Elephas maximus indicus: one gene and its partner. The protein of the gene in region 1 interacts with the protein of each later gene in a pairwise test. Links are inferred from orthologs where the notes say so. Each region holds a gene or a part of one and is shown in the gene's direction. Other genes may lie near its edges.

The links.
Region 2: the proteins of FBF1 (region 1) and ACCS interact in a two-hybrid assay, tested with the Homo sapiens proteins (2 studies listed by BioGRID and IntAct). The two-hybrid records come from large-scale screens. The link is inferred for Elephas maximus indicus from reciprocal best matches to the Homo sapiens genes FBF1 and ACCS.

The regions. Positions count from the first base shown.
Region 1 is NC_064837.1:66,176,430-66,185,388, reverse strand, and holds the start of FBF1 (fas-binding factor 1), read left to right. Parts: upstream 1-4,666; 5' UTR 4,667-4,687; intron 4,688-4,696; exon of another isoform or gene 4,697-4,857; intron 4,858-5,037; exon of another isoform or gene 5,038-5,173; intron 5,174-5,444; exon of another isoform or gene 5,445-5,499; 5' UTR 5,500-5,575; intron 5,576-6,041; 5' UTR 6,042-6,114; coding exon 6,115-6,117; intron 6,118-6,699; coding exon 6,700-6,727; intron 6,728-8,594; coding exon 8,595-8,636; intron 8,637-8,959. UniProt on the Homo sapiens protein: Keratin-binding protein required for epithelial cell polarization. Involved in apical junction complex (AJC) assembly via its interaction with PARD3. Required for ciliogenesis.
Region 2 is NC_064825.1:99,411,633-99,421,171, forward strand, and holds the start of ACCS (1-aminocyclopropane-1-carboxylate synthase-like protein 1), read left to right. Parts: upstream 1-5,239; 5' UTR 5,240-5,503; intron 5,504-6,027; 5' UTR 6,028-6,075; intron 6,076-8,277; coding exon 8,278-8,559; intron 8,560-9,539. UniProt on the Homo sapiens protein: Does not catalyze the synthesis of 1-aminocyclopropane-1-carboxylate but is capable of catalyzing the deamination of L-vinylglycine.

The DNA.
Region 1 (8,959 bases):
CCCATGAAGCATTCAGACAAAGCTTTGAGAAATGCAGTGTGGCTTCCTTCTGTAATGCTGCTGATCTCAGTAGATAATTAGTAGAATGTAACTACTAAGTAGTTAATTTTCAGTTTTTAATCACTAATCACGGGATATATAAATGTTTTAAAGCAAAAGTATTTTTCAAATGGTATAGAACCTTCCAGGCTTTCCTGCTACTGTCGCACCACACCTACCATGGGGCCTGGCCTGAAAGCAGGGCTGAGGAAATGGGACTGGGGGAAAGTTAACTCATCAGGAAGCTTGATGTTGTGAGTTTGTGCTTGGCAAGTTTTCTGCGTGCTCGCCTTCCTTTGCCCGTGTATTGCTCCCATCTGACTATGCATAATAGCATTTTTTCCAACACAAGAACTTCTTCAGCACAGGTCTGCTGCAGGACTATTGTCTCTCGTAATTAGGAATTGGCCTCCTGTTCGAAGGATCCCTAAATTGTCACTTCAGTAGCACAACTTCCTTTGTCCCTATCTTCTTTAAAAGGAGGAGGTAGCAAAGTCATCCCTACATGTGACTTTTGCAACCGAGGGAACTCAATGGTACTGAGATCTCGCTGTCTTTCCCTCCTTCCCTACCTCCTCATTTCTCCCTCCCTCCTGCTTTCCCTCTTGAAAGAGATACTAAAGAGGGGTTGGGGGCGGTTGTCCTGGAATCACAGTTCCTCTTTAATAGAATAAGTGTAGGAAGAGCTGTCACCTAAGGCACTGCTGTTACTTTGGTGACCTTAATTACTTGGGTTTTCTGGGACAATCCAGATTCCAAATATTCTGTCATTTTGACATAAGCTATTAAAATGCCTGAAGGCTACAGTATTGGGCATTAAAAAAACAAAAGCATTGCACCTCTTACACCCAGAAGTAGCATAGCAATCCTTCCCAAACCATATGTTCTGGTTTTTGGTTTAGAAAATATAATCATTTAAACTCCGGCTGAAGGGTATATGGAGGTGCCATAGAGTCTGGTTCTTACTGTATGTCTGCCTTTGTTTTCTGTGTGTTTCTAGGAGCTTTATCTGAATTGCTAAAGGTCCTTTTGGTCGAAATGTAATTGACACAATCATTCTATAAAGGTTAAACATGTACCTCTTAATGAATTTTTTCCCCTTAAAATCAGTGTAAAGCAACACAAGTCATTTGATTTGTCTTAACCTGTTAAACTGTATCTTTGACATCTGCCTCTTAAAACCGATTGTTCTAGAATCAATCTTGACAATACAGTGTAATTCAGTAGCAGTGTAATTTCTTGACTGCCACATCACGCTATTATCCTGGGACCTGATGTAAAATCCATTCCAGTGCATCTGGTCACATGAAACCTTTCAGTTACAGCAGAAATACTGTGTGTTAACACAAGCCTTGATCTTTCCATCGGGAGAATTAATTGATAATTTCATGTTAAGATTGAAGTAGAAAGCACTCTGTCTTAATCTCATTTGGGCATTGCTTGACAGTAATTTAGATTCTGGGAAATAACTGAAAGTAAGTTTAAATTGTTTACTATTGACTTATTAAATGTAGAATTATTTCAAAATTAGTGGTTAAATACCTTGTTCACAGGTGGATATCTGTGGGCAGGATCTGAAGGTGCTTGAAACGACACTGTCTCATCCAGCAGCATACATCCAAGATCTTAGCACGTCTGAAGAAACTGTAGACATGACAGCCACCTTCAGTCCAACCAACACCTTGGGTTTTACTTAAAAACTAATCTGACATTTAACGCTGTTTTCATTAAGAATGGAATGTTTTGTCTTGAACTGTCCTCAGTGTAATCAACGAATAAAGATGCAGTAAAATCTCACTGATTTGTCCTATTAAGAGAGAAGAAGTGTGCTACGTAATTAAATGTAAGTTTACGTTGTGGAGAATTTTTAAATGCAGACTTATTAGGTTTAGGTAGCAGTAAGACCAAAACCAGAAGGAATGAGGGCTTGCCTGAACAGGTAGCTGTAAAGCAGCCGTCGTCACTGTAGTTGCTGCTGTAAATGGGCGATGCCATGGTGAGTTTAGGAGTCCTTGGGTCCTGAGAAATGAAGCAGCCAATCCAGTTTTTCTCCAGGCAGAGCCCCATAGTGAGGAAAATGGAAGAGTTAAGATCTAACACCCCAGCCTTAGCAGCGGGTAAGTCTGGTTTGGTCGAGCTCTTCGGTGAACCATCACACAAAAAGTGCAAACAAATTTCAACCTAGTTTTCTCCAAAATGGTAAATGCTGAGTAGAATTAATGAGATTTTTCTGTATTAGCTTTTCTTAGATTATATTGACATAAGCCTTTTTTTTTTAAGAGTACTTAGCAGCGTACAAAAGCTGAAAATTGGATTTTCTATCTGTAATGGCTCAAGGTTGATCATCCTGTGTTTGGAGCGTGGTCTTATGCTCTACCAGGTACATACTGAGGTGTGTTTCAGTGTTGGGACGTGAGTGACCTCAAAGCACCATTGTTGCAAAAGCCTTTGGGGACCTTAATGTTCTTGTCTTTGGAATGTACCACTAAAAAAAGACCAGACTTAATGGTCTGAGACTGGAGGGACCCCAGAGGTCATGGCAGCCAGACTCTCTGTTAGCCCAAAACTGAAACCGTTCTCAAAGCCAACTCTTCAAAGATTAGTCTGGCCTGTGAAACATAAGATGATACTGGTGAGGAGTGTGCTGCTTAGCTCAAGTAGACACAGGAGACTATGTGGGCAGCTCTTGTCTGGAGACGAGGTGAGAAGGCCAAGGGGGGCAGGAGCTGGTTGAATGGACTCAGAAAATACAGGGGAGAGAAGCAATGTGCTGTCACATTGTAGGGAGAGCATCTAGGGTCACATAACAATGTGTGTATAAGCTTTTCTATGAGAAACTGACTTGAATTGCAAACTTTCACTTAAAGCACAGTAAAAAAAAATTGTAACTGATATGTACCAGCTTATCTTTAGAACATCTTAATTGCAATATTTTTATGTTCAAATGCTTTCTAAAAACTCACTGTAACTTCAGATTTCATATACCTAAAGGCACTTTATAGTTAGTTCCTAAAGTTAATATGTTAGATCTTAACTCTTAAGTTTTCCTCACTTGGGGGCTTTGGCTGGAGAAATACGACTAGTTTCTAAATTCATGATTCTGGGGAATCCATAATTCTTCAGACAACTTACTTTCCTCAAAGTACCCCTCCCCCATTTCTGAAGGCTGTCCATCCATCTTAGGAAGGAAGTGAATTGGATGCAGATAGTCTATACCACCTGTTGTATGTGGAGGGTACACGTGGGCTTGCAGGGTGTCTTCCTGCAGGAGCTGCTGCTGCAGCTGGGGAGCAGCAGCGTCAGGAACTTGCTTGTTCTGAGACCAACATCCTAGAGTCTACTGACTCAGATAAAGGCTTTGATCATTTTTGTGGAATAACGCAGGGAGACCATCTCAGCTAGTTAAACATTTACTACTACAATCTCAGAGTAGAATGGTTAAACCAAGCCACACTGTAAATAACTATTTGAAATTAATTTTCATTTTAAAATATTGTTGGGGTTGTGCTTTTAGCTGTCCAAAACTACTAAAAATTTCTGTACCTATTCCTGTGGCCCCTGAAAGTAAACAGCCTTCTAAGGAACCATTAGAATTATCGGATGTGAGCTGTCACAGATCAGAAAGTTCCTAGAAGTCCAAGGGTTTTTTTAGTTTTGTTTTTGCCCTAAAAAGGGGCCATTTTGTCTTGGGAAGATGAAGTTAAATGGAGAGCGATTTTAAGAATTCTGAACCAAAATAAAAAGCTACAATACTGTTTTCATAAATTTTCGGTAATATGTGATCTTCAATATTCAGACTGCTGATAACTACTTGTAAACACTTCCAACTGCTATGGTTTCCGTGAAATTACTTGTGTTCTTTGGAGCGTGTAATTGCTTTGCTACATTTTTTCTTTCACTGTTGTGGTTTGAGTATGGGTCCTACTGAAGAACCTGCATTTACGATGTATTTTTACCCAACCCTGGCTGGACATGTCCTTCGGGGCTGGGAGTTCCGAGGAGGTGCCCCGGCCGGAGGGTATGAATCCCGGCGACAGCGATGACCCGCTAGCACTCCTTGGCCAGCGGTAAGCCAACGACTAACCCCTTTTGTGAAACTGAATAACCCTTAATAAAATCTGTATTTAGCACACAAGTGTACGTGTCTTTGTTGGGTGTTGGGTTACATTCTGGTTTCGCAGATTGGGGATTTCGTTAAATTGAACGTCACAGCCGCCTCCCTCAAGCTTTAAAAAAAAAAATCAAGCTTTAGGTGTGGGATAAATACGGTTTCACAGGTGAACCTTTCGATTTTAACCTATTTCTCACCGCCGTGCCCCGCTACCCATCGGAGTTAGCCCTCGAAAGAGAGCCGGAAGAACTTGAACTGTTCTGTCTTCCAGCCCAGTTCCTGACAGTCATCCAGGGAGGGGCGGAGAGAGAAGCCGAAGGGGCCCCCAGGCCGCGTCGCTCTTCCCTAGGCGGCGTCGAAGGAGCCCCTAGCAACGCTCGGAGGCGCCAATAGAGGCTGGGCCCAGGCTAACGGCCGCGGCGCGGCTCCCTGGGAAATGTAGTTTGTCTTGGCGCTCCCGCTCCCTTGGTTCCGGCAGATGAGTGACCCGCGGACTACAATTCCCAGGATGCCTCGCGACTCGCCTTTCTGCCAGAGGTTGGTGTTCACCGGGCTCCGAGGCGGGAGGCCTGACAGAGCCAGGTTCCAGGGGAGGTGGACCTGCGGCTATGGCTGGGGCAGTCCTCTAGGACCGCGCCTCGGAAAAGAATGGCGCGTAACGGGGGGCTCCAGGGGCTGGGAGGATAGAGGCTGCGCTCTGGGTCGAGGTAGGCTGAGCGCGCAGGGGTGGCGCATGGCTGGGCGCGGAGTCCCGGAACCAAGGGGTTCAACGGACAGGGCCTTTGCCAAGGGGCGGGGTCGGGATTTGAAAATGCCTGGCGTGGGGCTGGCTGAGTAGATGAGATGACGTGATGGCACTCTGGTTCTTTGGCTTTTGCAAAACCCAGAAAACCCACTGCTGTCGAGTGGATTCCGAGGCATGGCGACCCTGTAGGACAGAGAACTAATCCATAGAGTTTCCAAGGCTGTAACCTTTATGGAAGCAGACTGCCACATCTTTCTGCCGCGGAGCGTGGAGCGCTGGTGGGTTCCAACCGCTGACCTTTTAAGTTAGCAGCCAAGCGCTTTAACCACTGCGCCACCAACGCTCCTTTGGCCTTTGCAGACCACTTAGGAAATCTCTGTGGTTTGGGAAACTGAGGCAGATTCCCTTTGGATGGGAGATGGCAGAAGTTTCTTGATGTTATGAGACAAACTGCTTGGATTGTAGGTCGTGAAAATTGCTATTACAGACACTAACACTCAGGGTAGCCTTTGTCCATCCCCCCAGATAAACTTCGAATTCTCATAACAGGGCAGACAAACAGTTGAGAAATAGTGATGACCGTCTCTGACTCCTTCCTTCCAAGGCATGCCAGAGGTTGGTTTTGGTCAAGTGCAAGTGAGGAGGTATAATTCTGAGGAAGACTCTTCTCTGTTAATGAGGTGAGTGAGACTTGCAGTTAGTGTGAATGGGGGAAAAAATTCCATTGTTAGTGAAAGTAGTGTGAAGCCATGGCCAGGGATCACATCCGCTCCTCCTTGTGCTGGATTGCTATCTAGAAAGTAATCATGGGTGTTGCCTGGGAAGCCAGTAGGCCATGGGCACGTACCCACCTCCTTTCCAAAATGATACGTACCTGCCATTTCCCTCATCCTCTTCGAGAATAAGGGATGAGGACCGCTGCACTTTAATGGAGTAATCTGAGTGTAGGCCTCAGTAAACCTATCACGTTACCCAGAACACTCTGGTTCTCATCTGAATTGCTCCCCCCATAAGAAATGTGTAATTTATGTAAATAAGCTTTGATCTCTTGGATGGGTAAAGTGAGGAAAACCTGGACTGGCCTTGGACTCGAGCACTATTACAGCCACAGCATTTTTAAGCAACCACTTTAATTTTCTTCACTAGGTGAGGAGGAGCCTGATGTAGATGGAATTCAAGTGAGCTGGACAGTGCTGTGAAGCAGACCCAGAGCCTTGAGATGGTAGGTGGAATGCGGAGTAAGACGAATGGAAGCGTGGCCTCTTCTCCCCCAAGATCTTGACTAGATGCAGTAATTTGGGAGGTGGGTGACAAGGACCAGGGTGTGGTCCCTGGAGGAGAGTAATGGAAAGTAACATGGCTATCAGACTTCTCATTAAGTAACGAGTAGGTTTCTTCTGAGCCTCTGAATGTCTAGCTGAAAGCGTTTTTAAACGTCTGTCAGGATCGAGGAGTCAGGTCTGTGGAATGGAAGAAAAGATGAACAATCACGTATGTTACATCCTGGCTGGAAGGGGACTCGTGTGGCGTCTGGAGGTCAGGGAAAAGGAGAGACTTCTGCCCACCTGATGACATCCCCTGCTGGCTAGTGGGGACTGTTGTCATGTTCTGAACGAGTCCATTTTCAGAAACTCTAGGCAAGCATAACAGACTTCTGTCTTAAATGCCGTTGGGTCTCCTTTTTCTCTGGTGACATGACAAAAGGCAAAACAGTTCATTCTGCATTCCCAGCCTTGGGTTTCCTCTGTTTCAACACACTGTTGACTGTTTGATTTTGTTAATGTGATTTCTTTTTCCATTTTAGGCAGCAAAAGCCAGGAAGGGATTAAAAGGTAAGCAGAGAAATGGAACATCACCCTTAAGCCAAGTATGTGTGTGTGTATTCCTCCCCCACCCCCACCACCATGGCTTCAAAAAGAATTTAAACATGTTTGCGTTTAAATGTAAGGAGCCCTAGTGGTGCAGCGATTAAAGCACTTGGCTGCTAACCACCAGTTTGATGGTTCAAACCCACTAGCTACTTCTGGGAGGAAGATGTAGCATTCTGCTTCTGTAAAGATTTACAGCCTCAGAAGCCCTATGGGGCAGTTCTACTTGATGGCAGTGGGTTTGGTTTTGATTCGACACCTAAATGTTCTTGGTGAGAGTCTTGTTGTTTTTCCCATAATTCCATAGGCAGCCTTGGTCTTTCTAGGGGACCCCTCCTTATGTTGGCTCATTGGCCCTCAGAGTAATTCAGAAATAATTAAGGGATGGGACTTTGGAGAAAATCCTTCTTGTTGGGTTCTGTATCCAGAAGTAGATGGTTGAACCATAAACCAGTAGACAGCAGTGCTGAGGTGGATACGATCAAAAATATCTGCATTCTCCTTTTCGTCTCTGTCATATGAAGCTTTATTCCAATTACTTTTCATGGAATGACATATTTCGCATAAGTAGTTTCCTTGATAAGAAAGAATATATAGAAATCTCCCTGCAATTAATTCCCAATGTTTATTTTTTTAAACTGGACTGTGGGATTTCTAAAGATGAATAATATGGAGCCCACAGTCCATTTATGTGTTCGCTGTCCTGTGGCTGAAACCATGTTTGTCTTTTAAACACTAGTTTAAAGCTCCCAATAAACATGCCTGTTGCTAACAGCACAGAAAAGTGGGAAAAGCCTCAGGCACAATCTAGCTGTTCTACTAAAGCCTTTTAAACATGCGGTCACCTTCTGTTTGCACGTCTCTCCCCTGAGAGTCTGTGCCGGCAGTGCCATAGAGTGCCTTCTCCGTTTCCTGGGGGCAAACGATGAAGACTGCGCCTCCTCAGTCAATTGTGCTCCAGTATTTTAGTGGAAATGGATGTAAAGTATATAAATATTCAAACCCGCGGCCTGACCACCCCTAATACAGCCTTTTGAATTTGTTCCATGTACGTAGTTGTTAGGTGCCGTTGATTCTATTCTGCCTGGCATGACGGAGCAGAACTGCTCCATAAGGTTTTCTTGGCTGTAATCTTTACGGAAGCAGATTACCAGGTCTTTCTACTGTGGAGCCACTGCGTGGGTTTGAACAGTCAACCTTTCCTTCAGAAGCCAAGCACTTAACTATTGCACCACCAAGGCTTCTTAGTTACTTGTATAGATAATTCTTCATTAAAAAAAAGAAGAAAAAGAAGGAGGTGTTTGAAGTTCAGAGTGGTAAAGACCCTGAAGCTAGATACAAGTACTAACTCAGTACTCGTGCTCTACCCCCATCAGAAAGTGGGCAAGGAGGTGAGCGTCCAGACCAGTGCTGGGGAGGTCTCGGATGGAAGGATACATGGAGGCTGTTGGTGTGGCAGAAGCTTGTATGTGCCCAGAGGTCTTGGACACTTTTCCCAAAGGTCCACACCAGGCTTTGTTCAGAGTTTAGAGGATGGCGCATTGGCCAGTGTCTCATGGGGGGAGGCACATAGAATGTGGATTATACTGAAAATCTTTACCATCATTCTTTGAAAAAGTTATTTTTAATTTCTACCCTGAGGCCTTTCACCAGTGCTTCATGACTCGTTGCCAGGGGGTTAGAATATAGCATGAGCAGTGAAGGGAAAACTAAGTGTTAAGACCCAATATCTGAGAGCTCTGAACCCCTGGGGTGAGCTTGCAAGAGTTGAGGCTTGTGAGAGCCGTTCTTCTTGTCTCCTGAAATCATGACAGCTCCTTCTCTGTTGCAGGCTCCATTGATGATGTCCTGGGTGACCTCTTAGGGGATGACAGTAAGTGTCCCCTGGTCTAGGTTTATTCTTTTTTTACTTGATATATAATTCACCTACCAAAGAGCCCTGGTAGTGCAGTAGTTAAGAGCTATGGCTGTTAACCAAAAGGCCAGCAATTCGAATCCACCAGGAGCTCCTTGGAAACCCTCTAGGGCAGTTCTACTCTGTCCTATAGGGTTGCAATGAGTCAGAATCGACTCGACAGCAACGGGTTTGGTTTGGTTTTGATTTTCACCTACCATAAAATTAGCCATTTTAAAGTAAACAATTCACAGGTTTTTAGTATAGTCACTATGTTGTATAACCATCGTCACTATCTAATT
Region 2 (9,539 bases), on another chromosome or scaffold:
TCAAGGGAAGTGCATGACTGCTAGAAGGAATAGCTGCATTAAAGGTGAGTCTGTAAGAAATAGGCGAGGACATTCTAGGAATGGTGCGTGGCCATATATGACTAGCCAAATGCCAAGAAGGTGGTTTGGGACCAGCTGTAGAAGGGCCATGAGCCAGGCTGAGGGTCCTAGACTTCATTCAGTGGTCACTTGGGAGCTGTTCCATCTAGTTCCTCAGAGACACCTTGTGTTGACTTTCTGGCTTAACTAGGGCAGTGTTGGGCCCTGTTGGCCTACCTGTCTGGGAGTGACCTCAAGTCCTCTTTCTCCATTCCCTTCATATATGTCAAGTCTTTATCCTTCAACTATTTCTCCATAACCTTGATTGTACTATCTCTTCTCCAGTTTGCCTGATCCCAACAGGACCCATGTGATCTGGGGTACCAGTAAGGTGAGCCCTAGCTGTCAATCCTTGGGTGGGGGAGGAAAGAGAGCCAGGAATAAAAGGTAGACAAACCAGGTGTTCACTCCCCTACTACTCTTCATCTAGGATTTTGGCATCTCTGGCTTCCGCTTTGGTACTTTATACACCCACAGCAAGGAAGTAGCTGCTGCTGTGAGCTCCTTTGGCTGCCTCCATGGCATCTCTGGCACCACCCAGCATAAGCTGTGTCGGCTGCTCCAGGACAGAGGTACTGAGCTCCATCCCAGGCCAGCATCTTGGCTGGACCCCTTGGCCGCACGGAATTCCCGGGTCTGCTTCTGTTATCCCCTCAATACACCAAGATCCTGTTCACTGTCTCGGGCTTAGCCTTACAGGACATGAAGTATGAAGGAGGGTAGGATGCGGCTCAGATAGTGCAGTGGGAAGATGCAAGTGCTGGTCTGAAACACAGCGTAGGCTTGAACTTCTGGATGTCTTGTAGCTCAAAGTCTGCCTGGAAAGGGGATAGTCAATTGCACTGTAAGATCTGAAGGTGGGAAGTTGAGATATCAGTCTATGTAGATGTCTCTTCTCTAAGGAAGAGATTACAAAGAAACTCCCTGTACCCTCTAATACGGCTTAACCTCATCTTCCAAGGGGAGCTGCCATCTGGGGGAGTTGATGTGGCTAGATTCATGGCACTTGGATTCACATTCCTCCCTGGATCTCAAGTGAATGCTGGCCTTAGAGGGAACTTCCCCCTTGAATACTGTGGTCCAAATGTAGATAAGACCCCTTTTCTTTAATTCTCTGTAATAGAACAGATACCAGGTTGGAGGGCTTACATAAAAAGCTAGGGTATAATGAAACAAACTAATGTAATAAAATAAGATCGCTTAAACGGTTTACTTTCAGGTTTGAGTGGGGAAGGAGGTAGATAGGAGAAATTTAATTTGATGCTTTCCTACATGGCACCAGACCCTTTGATATTTGGCAGAAATCAGCTTCCCAGCCCCTAGAACATTGGTTCTCAACCTTGGCAGCACATGGGAATTACCTGGGGAGCTTAAATACTGATGCATGAGCCCCATCCAAAAGATGTAGATAATCTTGAGGGTACAGTTTAGGCATCAAACTCCAGATGGTTCTAACACCAAGGACAATTGAGCCTGTCTAGGTTCCTCAAAGGCCATAGTGTGAGGCTCAAAGGCAGGAGATATGGGGACCTGCTACTTCCCCAGTTGATACCAGAAGCATCAACCCCTTTTAGGAGATACTCCTCCATTCTACCTCTTCCTTGCCTCAGGGGTGTAAATGCAAACAGAGAATTTCTATTAAAAACTATCGAGAAACCCAATGTCTGTACCTAAGCCATAGATGAGAGGTGAATGTGTTGGTATGGATACCAAAAACACATAGGTATGTTGATAAAAAAAAAAAAAAGGGATGCCATCAATTCAAATATGATAGTCTTGGATAGAAGAGTTGGCATGAAGACCAGGTAGGGAGCATTTGGTAAGGAACCTTTTGGTAGATCTCTGACACAAGAACTGTGATGGCTCTCTTCCTCCATTCATACAGATTGGATTGATAAAATGTACCTGCCCACTAATCACTCCCGGCTCCAGGAGGCTCACAAGTATATCACAGACAAACTGAAGGCCTTGAAGATCCCCTTTCTCAATCACGGCTCTGGCCTCTATATCGGGATCAACTTGAAAAAGGTGAGGTCTCTGAATGAGAACTGGCATTCTGGGGCAGAATTGCAAATGGACTTTGGGCTAAGGTCTGTCCTCTGCCCTCCCTAGTACCTGGACCCATGTATATTTGAGAACGAGCTAGTCCTCCACCACCGCTTCCTGGATAACAAGGTGGTATTGTCCTGTGGCAAGTCCTACTTGTGTAAGGAGCCAGGCTGGTTCCGCCTTGTCTTTGCAGATAAGCCCCGCCGGATGAAACTGGGTGAGTGATGTTGACCTTCCAATCCTGGCTCCTTCAAAGATGCCCCACCAACTTCTCCATAACCCAATCCCAGAATGATAAGATGTGGTGAAACCCATGTGAAATTTTTCATGATAGATTTGTAAGTAAACACAATTAAGCCAGTACTACCATGTTTAAGTGCTACAGCTGCTAACCAAAGGGTGGGCAGTTCAAATCTGCCAGGCACTCCTTGGAAACTCTATGGGGCAGTTTTACTCTGTCCTTAAGGTTTGCCATGAGTCGGAGTTGATTCGACAGCACTGGGTTTTTTTTTTTTTACCATGCTTACTGGTTAATCTGCCCCTACCGAATCTTCCTTCTTTTTCTTTTAGCAGCCCATATCTTGTCCTTCTATTCTACCTGTTTCCATCTTCATCTCTTTAATTAAATCGCTTTGTAAACAGGAACTGATAGGTGCTTGAGATACACACCTGCTCATTCATTATACCTTCAGGTATCTGTTCTGTGCCTGACATTGAGCAAGGCATTGAGACTATCCACTAAGAAATTGTACTATGCCCTTGTAGATGTGCAGTCTAGTAGGGAGAATGAATGAGGAGATGATAGAAGTTCCTTTTGTATATTATGCTATGGAGTTCAGACACTCCTCTGAAGATTTCAGAGACCATCACATCCATTTTAATAAGTATGTATCACCTCATACTTCATGCTAGGCGCTATTCTACCTGCTGGGGATGCAGCAATGAATGAGACAAGGCGGACTTTGGTGCTGTAGCAATATCTTACTGGCTAGTGTGGAGAACAGATTGAGTGAAGAGACAACATTGTCATCGAGTCAATTCCAACTCATAGTGACCCTATAGGACAGAGTAGAACTCCCCATAGGGTTTCCAAGGCTGTAAATCTTTATGGGAGCAGACTGCCACCTCTTTTCTCCCACAGAGCTGCTGGTGGATTCGAACTACCAGCCCTTTAGTTAGCAGCTGGAAGCTTAATCACTGCACCACCAGGGCTCCTTTTGAAAAGACACTAGAGGCATTGAACACTTGGTGAGGCCAAGGCTACAAGCCAGGGCACAGGATTTGGTATGAGACTTGAGGTGTCTGGCAGGCTGCTGTGACAGTACCATTGGGGATGAGGCAGGTGGACTTAAAATCCATCCCAAAGAAGGGAGGGCTAAAGTTCAGCAGAGGTAGAATCACTGCCAAGACCCGGGTATGTCTGGAGCCCATCTGCCAATCTACTAAGTATTTCTCTCTGTCTCCATTTGGACCCTCTAGCCATGCATTGGTTCTGTGAAGCGCTACAAGAACAGAAGAAGGAGTTGGTAGCAGGGCTCCCAGAGGATATGCACAGGAGTAGGCTGTCTGCCTCCCATCCAGCCACATGCTCGGCTGGTCCAGAGGGCTGAGACATGGAACTGCTACTGTGACTGAGCAAACAGTGGGCTGCTCCAGAAATGGTCTCATCTGGCCCAGTCACTGACCTCTTTGAACGGAGTCAAACATCTGTCACTTTTGGAAGCTTTGCATCTTTTTAGTCTTTGCTAACCATTGTGTGGGGGGCAAAATGGATGTTTTTACTGAGGTTGGGAAGGCCTAGGGGGCACCTGGAGTGGGATAAAGGGAGTCCCCTGGATCCTTATTTAGATTTTTTTTTTTTTTAATTCAATGTCTAATAAATTCCATGTTGTTGTTGTTAGGTGCCATTGAGTCAGTTCCAACTCATAGTGACCCTGTGCACAACAGAACAAAACACTGCCTGGTCCTGAGCCATCCTTACAATCGTTGTTATGCTTGAGCTCATTGTTGCAGCCACCGTGTCAGTCCACCTTGTTGAGGGTCTTCCTCTTTTCCGCTGACCCTGTATTCTGCCAAGCATGATGTCCTTCTCCAGGGAGATCCCTCCTGACAACATGTCCAAAGTATGTAAGACACAGTCTCGCCATCCTTGCTTCTAAGGAGCATTCCGGCTGTACTTCTTCTAAGACAGGTTCGGGTATAGGGTCGCTATGAGTCGGGATCAACTTGACAGCACTGGGTCTATGAGTCAGAATCGACTTGATGGCACTGGGTTTGATCTCTTGAATACTGGTATTCAATAAAGCCTTCTTACTACTTACCTCTTCCTGTCTCAGTATTGGCTTTGCAGCAGGTGGCTGGAACCCACTTTTGCAGTAAAAATAGCAGAGTAGAACTGCCCCATACAGTTTCCAAAGAGCAACTGGTGGGTGCAAACTGCTGACCTTTTCGTTAGTAGCCAAGCTTCTTAACCACTACAGCACCAGGGCTCCCAACAAAGATAAAGCAAAGACAAAAAGTGGAACGGTCAAAAGACCACATCTTCTCAGCCATACCCATATTGAGGGATCCTGAATATTTCCCGACATAGGGAAAGACGACTTTTTCTGCTGAAGGCGCCTCAGAGATACTTAGCTTTGCACGTGGGCCCCCGGACCTGGGTTTTCTACTTCATTGCTGAGGTCCTAGAATATGTAGAGTCCATGGCAGACATTCAAAAACTATTTTCTTGAATAAAAAGAGGGGAAATCACAAACCCTGATGAAAAGCTTTCATAGAGGAACGATACTTTAAGGGTGCTCTCTCCTTAATCTGGTAAAGCTTTTCCATGGGCCGCACCCAGGCAGTTTGCAGAAAAGCTTCCTTGGCTCCAACCGACTCCGGAAAACGGGGAGACCCACGTGCCAGGCATCCCGGGACCCCCGGCCTGGAAGGCCGGGGGCGATCAGGCTACGGAGCGCGGAGGTGGGAGCAGGCGACCCGCCCCTTCGGGAGGTCTCGGCCTCTGGGTCCCTTCCGCTTCTCCGGCTCCTCCTCCTGGCCCAGGGGGCGGGTGGGCTGGGGGCGGGGCTGGGGAGTCGCGGGCCCCAGTGCTGTGGTCACATCTGCGTTCCACAGCGCGCAGGCCACACGGAAGTGCCTGGGTGGGAAGGAGCGAGCCGCGCACTTACAGTCAGGGGACTTGGCCTGGGCGCTGACGGCCTCAGGGATCCCAGAGTCGCTGTGTCCCTGGGCGAAGCTCGGTCGCTGTCCTCGCCCGGGCTTAGAGCGTTTCCAGGTGAGGAAACCGACACAGTTACCAGCAAATTGCGGATTCGTGCCGCCTGCCGCCAAGCCAGTACTGAGGCAGGAAGAGGTAAGCAGTGTTAAAAAAAAAAAAATTTTTTTTTTTTTCCAAGCAGTAGGAGGGCTTTATTGAACACCAGTATTCAAGAGACAGAGAGGGTTAAATTGCTCTCAAATTCTTTCTAAACCTGGAGGACTAATTGGAGAGTTTTTATAGGGGAAGAGTCAGAGTTTAGAGGTTTTCGGGAATGCTGGTTTTTCTTTGAGGTAGACACGATGATTAAGTGGTCAATAATTGAAGTCCTGCCAAGCCTCTTCATGCCATCCTGGTTTCTGTAACAGGATGGATCTAGACTTTGTTCGGCCTGCTCGGTTTTGTGTTATTTCTTCCCTGGGAGAGGAACACAGTTGAATCAGCAATTAAAAATAGATGACCTAATTTTTCTTTAAATAAACTCTCCTGAGACAGATTCCAGAGCAAGTAATTACGTTTCAAAGACTAGCTTATACAGTTATATTGAAACATTAGAAAATATATTCTCTCTACTTCAATACTAAAACGCTAAAGAAAATATGTTTTCTCTACTTCATTAGCACACATCTCCGGAGGGCCTGCATCCAATCTGCTGCCAACTCTTCAGAGTAAGTGTGACCCCCGACTTTGCAGAGCAGGAAGCCAACCGGGCCTCCCTTTGTGCAGACTCCAGGATTCTTTGCAGAAGTCTCCACCGTTTTTTGTCTCAAGCTGCTGACACCAACTCAGCTTCCTCCTTCAGGAAGCCTGGAATCATCTCTCCCCAGGCAGCCTCCACCCTGCAGGGTGTGCTTTTGTGGATGGGTGGGTGGGTGGGTGCGGGTTTATACGTCGTATCTGCTCCCGCTTGTGGACTTTGGAGGCCTAGTAGTGCACGGATGTCTGGCCGTGGACATCCCAGCCGCCACCTTTCCCGCTGGCCACGGGAGTCGGCCTTCTCCAGGTAAGGTGCAGAGCTGGGAGCCCCGCGTCCCCCAAGCCCAGCCTGTGCCCTCCTGCCCGTGCCCTGGCCTGCTCAATGGTGCAGGCAGGCCTCTCTGCCCCTTCCTCAGACCTAGGCTGTCGGGAAGGACAAGGTGAGTGCTCAGGAAAGCAAGCCCAGCCAACTTGAGGATGACCCCAGAGAAGACTTCTTGGAGCAGAATTTAACTGCGGAGACCCCCAGGGTTTCTGTGCCCTGGCTGTCCACCCATCTTTTGGTGTGTGGGGGGTTGTGCATTAGGACTGAAAAAATTGGCGAGGAATTATAATACAATAACTCATATTTTATTGAACTTTCACCATGAGCCAGGATTTCTTCTAAGTAAGTGCTTTATCTATTTTAACTCATATATATATAAAATTGTACTTTAGATAAAGGTTTACAGAACAAACTAACTTCTCATTATGCAGTTAGTACACATTGTTTTACGACAGTGGTTAACAACCCCACGACATGTCAACATTCTCCCTTCTCCATCTTAGGTTCCCTATTACCAGCTTTCCTGTCCCCTCCTGTCTTCTAGTCCTTGCCCCAGGGCTGGTGTGCCCCTTTAGTCCCGTTTTGTTTTATGGGCCTGTCTAATCTTCGGCTGAAGGGTGAACCTCAGGAGTGACTTCATTACTGAGCTAGAAGGCTGTCCGGGGGCCATATTCTCTGGGTTTCTTCAGTCTCTGTCGGCCCAATAAGCCTGGTCTTTTTTTGTGAGTTAGAATTTTGTTCTGTATTTTTCTCCAGCTCTGTCTGGAGGGATCTATTGTGATTCCTGTCAGAGCAGTCGGTGGTGGTAGCCGGGCACCATCTACTTGTACTGGACTCAGTCTGGTGGAGGCTGGGGTAGTTGTGGTCCATTAGTTCTTTGGACTAATCTTTCCCTTATATCTTTAGTTTTCTTCTTTCTCCCTTGCTCCAGAGGGGGTGAAACCAGTGGAGTATCTTAGATGGCTGCTTATGGTCTCTTAAGACCCCAAATGCTACTCACCAAAGTAGAATGTAGAACGTTTTCCTTATAAACTATGTTATGCCAGTTGAGCTAGATGGTCCCCGAGACCATGGTCCCCACATCCCTCAGCCCAGCTATTCAGTCACTCAGGGTAACTCACATATTTGTGTCTTCACAACTCTCGTATGAGGTAGGGTTATCTCCACCCTCTGCCCCCTCCAAGCAGCTGAGGAAAACAGGCTTACAATAGAGAAGGAGCTCGCATCTGCTCAGAATGAGACCCCCCCTCTCTTTTGTCTGGCCTTCGCTCTCCCTCCCTCCATCCAGAGTGAAGGGGGGGGCCCTGGAGCTCTCCCTGGGGTGCCTGCACTTGCAGACACCCACCACCCCCTCCTTCTCCTCAGTCCTTATCCACCATTTGCTCCAGCCCACCAGATAATCTCATCCTGCCCTTTATGTACACCAGTCCCCACAAGACCCCCAGAACTCCCAGGCCAAGATCTGCTGTAACTCAGAACATTTTAACCTGACCTATAGAAATCGAGGCTGCAAGAATGGAAAATGAACGTTGGTGACCCCTTAGATTACAGAATGAAAAACTTTCACAATAGTTAAGGAAGCTAAAGCAGCCATAAGTTAAAGTCATATAAAAGTAGCAAGCACAGCCCCTGGCACATAATAGGTCCTTAGCTGATTTTACTTGTTGAAATGATTGTCTGCACACATGGTACAAATAGTAAGGGGCACAGGTGTTAAGTACATAAACGTAAAAAGGGGGGCAGCTACGGAAGGGGGAGTCTATGAGGCTTCCAACTCTTTGCTAATGTTTGGTGCTGTAGAAAGTCCTTGAGGAGGCCTGTTCATTGAGTGCCTTTGTCTTTTTTGCAGATGTCCACCCTCCCTCAGAAGGAATCCAGGGCATCTACTGCCTGTCCAGGCCCAGCCTCCACACAGGACCTGGGAAGTAGCTGTGACAATGGTCCAGAAAGAGAATGCTCCAGAAAACCAGACCAGAAGCTCTATGCAGTGGGCGATGCCAGTGCCATATTCTCCTCTGGCAGCTCCTACCTGTCCTCTCGAGGCAGTATCATTAAGTGGTTCTGGGACTCAGCCCAGGAGGGCTACAGGACCTACCACATGGATAAGTATGATGAGGACAAGAATCCCAGTGTGAGTGAAGCCTCCCTTCCCCTGGGCCCCAGGAGAGGAGCATAGGGTGGGGTACCTTACCTTGGCCAATAGGACAGCCCCCAGCTTATTCTTGTCAGGTTACCATTATGGCCCTCTGGTCCCTGACCTCCCTACCTTGGCCAATAGGAAAGCCCCCAGCTTGCTCTTGCCAGGTTGGCATTATCCAAGAGGGCCTCTGACTTAGTTCAAAGAGTTGATTGGCTGGGTCAGAAAATGGCCCATTTATAATAAAGGGGGCCCCACGTGTTTCAGGGCAGAATTGTGCTCTATAGGATTTTCATGGCTGTGACCTTTTGGACTCAGAGCACCAGGACTGCCTTCCAAGGTGCCTCTGGGTGGGTTTCAACAGCCAACCTTTCAGTTAGTAGCCCTGCTCTTAACCATCTGTGCCACCTAGGGACTCCCTAGAATACTTAAGATTAAATGAGATCAAATATGTAAGGTTATTAGCACAGTGCTTGGCATATAATATATTCAATAAATGGTAGCCGCTGTTATTATTCACATTATCTGTGCAGATTATTATAAGTTATTACTAGTAACAGTAATAATACCTGTAGAGGTCAGATAGAGATCACAAATAATCCTTTAGCAATCTTTATTTGTTGAGCATCTATCAGGGGCTGGGTGTTGTTCTAGGTGCCGGGGTTACAGTGGTGAACAAAAAGTTCCTGTCCTCATGGGGTTTGTGTTCTAGTGGGAGAGACAGACAGGGAACAGAAAAAAGTTTTTAATATGTGGTAACAAGTGCTGTAGAGAAAAATAAAGCAGGATAAAGACGACAGAGAATGATGCGATGGGCTGGGGATGTTGCCATTGTATGTAAGATGTTTACACAGGCTACTTTAATAAGGTGACATTTGAGCAGAGACCTGAAAAAAGTGAGTGAGTATATTATCTAACTATTGCTGTGTAACAAATTACTCCGAATTTTAGCAGCTTAAAACAACAAACATTTC